Arabidopsis thaliana: one gene and its partner. The protein of the gene in region 1 binds, or shares a complex with, the protein of each later gene. Each region holds a gene or a part of one and is shown on either strand. Other genes may lie near its edges. The genes, in order: EPF1 and TMM. A codon is read from its position in the direction of its gene.

Region 1 (3,382 bases):
CCTACAAAAGACATAAACAAAACCGACCAAACTTGAAACACACAAATTAAAAAAAGCTTATATGATAGTATAAGTTATATCTCATCCAACTTAACGTATCAACTAACTCAATAGAAAAAGAATGTACCCTACCCATGTCAGTATCACCATACATTCATAATATATATAACTTCTTTTAGAATTTATTTAAATTTTGGATGGCTGTTTCGATACATAACCTTCTAATAAGAAGTGTAAAGGCAGGCGTAAAAAAAGATTCGACCTTAAAAAGTAATTAATTTCAAGTCACATGAATAATAATTAAAATGATGTAATAACAAAATAACGAAAACATCTAAATAATGCTAAATAATTATAAAACGCTAAAAATACATCGTTTTTAACTATATTTTTAATAAATGTATTCAGAAATATTAAATTATTTTTCCAATACGATAAAATTAGATAAATGTTATGGATTTTCTTATCATTCACAACAAGGAAAAACTCTTGGATGGTAAACTGAATGGACTTTCAAGGGTTGAAAAATGGAATGTTTTCTGAAGCAGACCGATTTTATACAAGCCCCTCAATTCGCATTAGTAAAACCGATGTCTCCTTGCATAATATGGATTCCAAATATGTTATAATGTCTATTGACATGAAGAACTTAGAAACCTTGGTACATATTAAGATGACGTGGACGCAAGGAGGTGCCAAGGTGGGAGGCTGAAGTCTTAAACTTTCGGCAGATAAAGATAAACAAACTCCAAAACAAAACAAAACAAAAAGAAAACAAAGACAAGGGAAAAGGTTCGTGTTAGAAGAAAAAGTCAACAGCTTAAAGCTTAAAAAGTCGGTGAATGAATGGGTCAGCTCTCTCCACTTTCATTATCTCTCTATGCTCTATCTCTCCAATCATAAAACTTGCTATTCCAATTAAACTTATACACTATCCATTAGTATTTTATGTAGTATTCTTATTAAGATATTTTAACGTGGTCCATCATTCTACTTAATAAGTTTTTCTCTTCTTTTAAATTTATTGGCAGCAGTTTGAGAAAACGATTAGATTGATTAAGAATGCAACGAATGTCAAATCCCAAACCATTATCTTATACCAGTTATATTATGAGTGCTTCATATTTATATATTAACTTGCCAAAGTTTTGAAGATTATACTATGAAGGCTACTCAAAGGGACATTGATTCCTAGAAGATGATTTTATGATGTTAAGCCGTTGACTTTGGTAACTAAATCATTTGACCTTTGATGTTTCTGCCCCCTTTAGCAAATAGAAACTTAATAAGAAAATTTTCATTGAAATTTAGCATCCCAAAGAAAGGTGTAGAAAAGTTATAGTGTAATGTGATTGGTGAGGTGCATGTTCGACACTCTTCAAATGTTGATTGAAACTTTTTTTTGTGTGCAAAGTTGATTGAAACTTTAATATTTTTTCATTAATCGCTTAAAGTGTAGTAGTGTCAAAATATTGAGATGTCAAGTATAGAACATACTATCATTTTCAAAACAATTGTGCAATTTCAGTATAATCAGTATTTAAATCATTAATAACCTCATGTGTAATTAACTCTATTATATTATCGATTTTAAAACACAAGCCCCAAGACAATGTCCCTCATTCTATCTCATCAAATGCTCAACTTTTTTTTTTTAGTAAGAACATTAATTGGGTGCATTAATGAAGGTCACAGAAAAGAAGGGTTATAGAGGGTAAATTAAAGGTGATTGCACACAAAAGTATGTCTTTCAGTTTTTCACAGAGGAAGCTCATGACACTCACCAAAGCAGCACGAATGAAGTTCAAGTTCTTAATTAGGCTTCACATACTCTACATCATCTCCTCAAAATTTATATCATTTCATATGTTCGATCTTGTTTTCATGTGACTCTCTCCTCTTCTCTACCGTGAGTCTCTTCAATTTCCTAACCCTTTGTTAACGATCATATATACCTTGTTTCTCGCCGTACTATTTCATCCCAAATTTTACTTTTACCACTTGCGATAATATATCATGAAGTCTCTTCTTCTCCTTGCCTTTTTCCTCTCTTTCTTCTTTGGCTCTCTCTTGGCTAGGCATTTACCAACATCCTCCCATCCAAGTATGTATCTATGCACATCTTTCTTACTCCAGCTCTTTCACTATCTTCAAGATCTCTAACTTGTTCATGTCTGCGTGCATGTGCAGGTCATCATCATGTAGGAATGACCGGGGCATTGAAGCGTCAGAGGAGGAGGCCGGACACGGTGCAGGTGGCTGGGTCTAGGTTGCCAGATTGCTCACACGCGTGTGGCTCGTGTTCTCCATGCCGTCTTGTGATGGTTAGCTTTGTGTGTGCATCCGTCGAAGAGGCTGAGACTTGTCCAATGGCTTATAAATGCATGTGCAACAATAAGTCCTACCCTGTCCCTTGATCAGCCTCTTCTACACTTATTCTATGCATTCAACCGTTTTGTTTTCCTTTTGCTTCTCCGGGACATGACCATGTGTACGTATACAATGCATCTTTAATTAGTTTCTTTCTTATTATTAATAGGAATCTTAAACACAGTTTGATCCGAGATTAATTAATCAGAAAATATATGGATATCAAAAAATGAAAGCCACTCACCTATTTGGGCTCTCTCGCTGTATTATGGTCCATGAGGCCGTATTTAAGACAGCAACAACAAAAGTTGTAGACAGAATTATATTTAAAAGGCAACAACAAAAGTACGTATACGTTGTTACCACCAAACTTTGGAGGCTCGCTAATAATAACCACACTACCCATTTGTTACACACCCTTTATTTTCAACCATATCATCTCACCTTCGTTAAATGTTCCCACAATTAGCTCAGTATTTTACTATATACATACACACACATTCCCTCCACAGGATCAAACAAACACACGAGCTTTCTCCTCTACAACAAAATAAAATAAAATTAATGGCTTCTTCACTTATCACCTCCGCAGTCATTGTCGTGGTTTTAAGCCTAGTGCTTGGATCTGTAGAGCAAGTGAGTGGACTACGTCACGTTCCCAAGTCCCCTAAGACCACTGATGTCAAACACCCTGACTTTCTTGTAACCATTGAGCCCAAACCAACTATTCTCATTCCCGGTGTTGGAAGGTTCTTGCTTCCTCCCAAATGCAAGAAGCCGTTCTACCCTTACAATCCTGTCACCGGAGCTCCACTTACTGGTGGGGGAATCCCATCATATAATGGTGGACAAGGGGCCGGACCTCACACCCAACTCCCTGGTGGCGATGATACGCTTGTCCCAAACCCCGGATTTGAAGCGCCAACCCCGACCATTGGAGCTGGCACCGGAAGCAACGGCCAAGTTCCACCAGTGCCACTACCCTGAGTATTATTAATCTGTCAACAAATAA
Region 2 (3,931 bases), on another chromosome or scaffold:
TATAACGGAATTTTGGTAACTAACGTCTTCGATGAGAGAAAATAAAACGACAAATTTAAACTATTTTAAGAGGTTTTTCCCATTTCGAATAAACGCCAAATGTACAAAACATGGAAGAACAAGCAATACAAGTCTCTTATCTCCGGAAAGATAAAACAGAGATCAAAGAACAGAGTATATAGACAGAAGGAACACGTTCGAGCTTACAAGTTTTTTTTGTAGCCATAAATGGTGGCGATATTCAATCCAACTAATGCAGAAAAGGCATCTAACTAACATTATTAAACTCGGGAAGTATTTACAGCAGTTTTATCATCCCTCCTCTAACTAGATATTAGCATAAAAATGAAATTAGGGAATACAAGAAAGAATGCAGAAAGATAGGAGAACCCCAAAGACTTGGAAGTGCTTGACACGTCCGTAGCTCCGTCCGGCAAAGCACCGTCTTCTTCTCTAGATAGGTGCTGGACCGTACCGGAAGGAGCTGGTCTCGACGTTTCTGCATCACACAATCTTACAGTTGAACCAGATTTTGAACCGAATGCATCATCCAAGTCACTGTCCCGGTTAACACACAAACCAGCATTGTTATACAGCCTCAGCTTTCTCCTCATCCTCCACACTGTGTCTCTCTCGAACGGTACTGGTCCTGTCAGACTGTTATCGTTGAGCCTCAGCTCGCTTAGATGCTTCACGTCCCGGAACTCCAAAGGAATCTCTCCGGTCAGATTATTGCCCTCTAGGTGAAGGACCCGAAGACTGTTTAACCGAGTCAATGATTTCGGTATCGAGCCCTGGATGTTCGTATTCGAGAGAACAAGAATCATCAAGTTCTTGAGCCCTTTGAACGCGTTTTCAGGAATCGTTGTTGAGAATTTTGTGTTGCCTTTGAGCATTAAAGCTTGAAGAGAGTTTAGGCCTTGGAGAGAAGACGGGAATGGACCTGATAACCGGTTATAGCTCAAATCCAAAAGCACTAATTGGTTGAGCCGGTTAATCGATTCTGGGATAGGACCAGTGACTCTGTTTCGGCTAAGATCGATTTTGATCAACGATCCACAGCTTGTGAGTGTGGGTGGAACCGGTCCGGTTAAAAGATTCTGGTTCAAATCCAGAACGCTCAGCGCCGGAAGAACAAAACCGGGAATGGAACCAGTCAACCGGTTACCACTCAAATCAAGCGATCTTAAACCGGAGAACCGGTTGAACGACAAGGGAATGGAGCCGTTGAGGTGATTTTTATGCAAATCAAGAACTTTCAAATTGGTGAGATTGCCCAATTCGTCAGGGATAGGTCCCAAAAAACCATTCTCCCTCAGAACCAGCGTTTGCAGACTCGAGCCGAGGCGTCCCAGAAACGCCGGTATGCGCTGTGGGGCGCGGCCTAAACATCGGTAGAAGAACAAGGCTTTGAGGTGTTTGAGCCTCGTGAGGGACTCAGAGACGTAAGAGCGTTGTGGATCACAAGTCGGAAACGCCGTGTCGTCTGAGAGCGCTCCGAACGACAGAGAGACCACGTGGTAGACGTTATCCTGGTCCGGCATACACTCGATCCCGTGCCATCTCCCTCGGCAAACGTCTGGAATCGCGGCAGCCCAGTCGTTGCCGGTCGCACGCATAATGTCGTAGACGGCGTCTTGCTCGTCAGGCTCCGTGCGAGCGCCGTCATTGGTCATCGTGAATCCAGTTTGTGGGCCGTCGATCAGAGCAGATGGGGCCGTCGAGTCGGAGGTGATCACAGTGAAAGATCTGACCAACGGAGAAACTATAGACAAGACAATGAATATTTGGCGGAAGAATTCATATCGTGCCATTTCTTAGTTGTTGTTGTTGTGTGAATGCGGTTTAGGTTCGAAATTGTCAGTGTGTATATGTATAATTCTGAAGAAACAATTGGTGGGTCCATAAAAACGTTCGCAATGTCTTTATGACTTTCACGGGATAACTCGAGGAGCGAAATAAATAAAATTCATGATTCTCGATTTCTGCATTTATTGCTTTCACGAGATATTCCCTTCATTCGTCTTGTGTTGGGCCCTAGATCCGACCGCTTCGTGAACGGGACCCGACGTCTCCTTATCGTTTACTTTTTTTTTATTTGGGCTGAGCCCATTTTCCCATTTACGATATGTTGGGCTATTATTCAATTTGTATTTTGAACTGGGCACTGTATTTGTTTTTGTAACAAACCGTAGATAGCAATTGATAAAAAGTTTCATATGTTTGATTCTGAACCTTAAAATCATTATTTTGTTGTAACACGAGAATCTGAATAAACGGACGCGTGGTCTGTGCATACGAAAAGCACATGCCCATGGAGCAACACATGTAATACGTGTCATCTTACTAGTAACATGACATATATGAATAATGAAGTAACTACGAAAGCATCAAAACAAAGATTAGAAGTTCATAAGCCTCGTCCCATTTTCTTTGAGACTTTGACTATCACCCAAATACAAATCTTCATGCAGTCGTACAGCCGTCTGATGCAGTTCAAGGTCAAAGATCTGATGATCGACAAGCGGCGGCTGGTCGAAGTTCCTGATAATGCCACTCTAGGGGACGCCTTGAACACTATGGTAAACCACGGCTAAATAATTGTTATTTTTTTGGTTGGAGTCAACCGTTTTAAGTATCAAGAATTACTAACAAGACTATTCTTGGTATCAAACCGGTGGCAAACCGAGTTAGAGCTGTACCGGTGGCTGCCAAACCAGGCCAATGGCTGGGAGCCGGGGGATCAATGATAGTAGAGTTGGACAAACAGAGCGGAAGTGCAAGAAAACAGTACATAGGAATGGTGACCATGCTCGACGTTGTGGCTCACATCGCCGGCGATGACGGCGAGAGTGGGCTTGATAAGAAAATGGCTGCCCCTGTCTCTTCTATCATTGGTCATTGCCCTGAGGGTCTTAGCCTCTGGTCTCTCAATCCTAATACCAGGTTAATAGTATAGAAGATTTGTAAAATTAAATTGCTTTCAGTATAATTAATCCTTCCCTTTTATAATGTTAGATGTTGTACACTTTTCTCACATAGTAAGAATTCTTTTGCAACACCTAATATATATACCCATATTTCAGTCATTAATTGTTTATAGTTTCATATTTTTTATAATTCAAACTAAATGATAAATTAGAAATTATAATGCAAATTTTTCATAGAAAAATGCAAAACATTTTTCTCTTGTCAAAAATCTTAACATTATATATGAACGGATAGAGTACTAATCAAAGATGGTCATTGATGAAAGCAGCATCATGGATTGTATGGAGATGTTGAGTAAAGGAATCCACAGGGTATTGGTTCCATTGGACAGTAATACAGAAAATATAACAGGACCTGAGTTGGTAGAGTCAGCTTCTGCTTACGCAATGCTGAGTCAGATGGATCTCATCTCTTTCTTCTTCGACCAATCCTCTCAATTGCATGGTATCCTCTCCCACACCGTCACTGATCTCTCCGCTATTCACAACACTGTTTTAGCCCTCACTAGCCAGGTAAATTTCACAAGTCAAGAATTTTCATCTTTATTCATTAAATCCTAAGTTAAACGCTTGTAATGTTTAATACCAGGCTAGAGTGAAAGATGCAATACAATGCATGAGTATAGCAATGCTCAATGCGGTTCCTATCGTCGAAGCCTCTGGTGAGGGAGAGGATCATAAACAGCTCGTCGACGTAGGTGTCTTTACTTATACATGTATCTATCAGTATCTATTAAGATCAAATGTTGATTAATTTGGTGTTTGCTGGTGCAGGGGAAAAATCGGAGAGTGGTGGGGACATTCTCGGCTAGTGATCTGAAGGGATGTCATTTAGCCACATTGCGTTCGTGGTTGCCGCTAAATGCACTAGAGTTCGTCGAGAAAATCCCAAGAACTCTCTTGTTCACCGCTGCTACCTCAACACCAGGGAGGGAGCTCGT

What was found.
Region 2: the proteins of EPF1 (region 1) and TMM are in contact, whole or in part, in a crystal structure (PDB 5XJO), measured with the Arabidopsis thaliana proteins. Residues at the interface, in NP_179684.1 of Arabidopsis thaliana: Arg56 (codon at 2,268), Asp59 (codon at 2,277), His62 (codon at 2,286), Ala63 (codon at 2,289), Gly65 (codon at 2,295), Ser66 (codon at 2,298), Lys93 (codon at 2,379), Pro102 (codon at 2,406), Val103 (codon at 2,409), Pro104 (codon at 2,412); in NP_178125.1 of Arabidopsis thaliana: Trp73 (codon at 1,598), Ile77 (codon at 1,586), Pro78 (codon at 1,583), Arg82 (codon at 1,571), Gly83 (codon at 1,568), Arg84 (codon at 1,565), Trp85 (codon at 1,562), His86 (codon at 1,559), Tyr98 (codon at 1,523), Asp111 (codon at 1,484), Thr112 (codon at 1,481), Ala113 (codon at 1,478).

Annotation. Positions count from the first base shown.
Region 1 is NC_003071.7:8,982,214-8,985,595, reverse strand, and holds EPF1 (epidermal patterning factor 1), read left to right. Parts: upstream 1-1,781; 5' UTR 1,782-2,016; coding exon 2,017-2,104; intron 2,105-2,190; coding exon 2,191-2,417; 3' UTR 2,418-2,733; downstream 2,734-3,382. Other genes in the region: AT2G20870 (cell wall protein precursor), read left to right, coding at 2,935-3,357. UniProt on the Arabidopsis thaliana protein: Controls stomatal patterning. Regulates asymmetric cell division during guard cell differentiation. Mediates stomatal development inhibition. Not cleaved by the protease CRSP (AC Q9LNU1).
Region 2 is NC_003070.9:30,127,750-30,131,680, forward strand, and holds TMM (Leucine-rich repeat (LRR) family protein), read right to left. Parts: upstream 1,901-3,931; 5' UTR 1,815-1,900; coding exon 324-1,814; 3' UTR 70-323; downstream 1-69. Other genes in the region: CBSX4 (Cystathionine beta-synthase (CBS) family protein), read left to right, coding at 2,469-2,582, 2,678-2,946, 3,260-3,503, 3,580-3,684, 3,765-3,931. UniProt on the Arabidopsis thaliana protein: Promotes cell fate progression in stomatal development. In leaves, needed to correctly orient spacing divisions, to limit the number of asymmetric divisions in neighbor cells, and to promote the asymmetric (amplifying) divisions of meristemoids.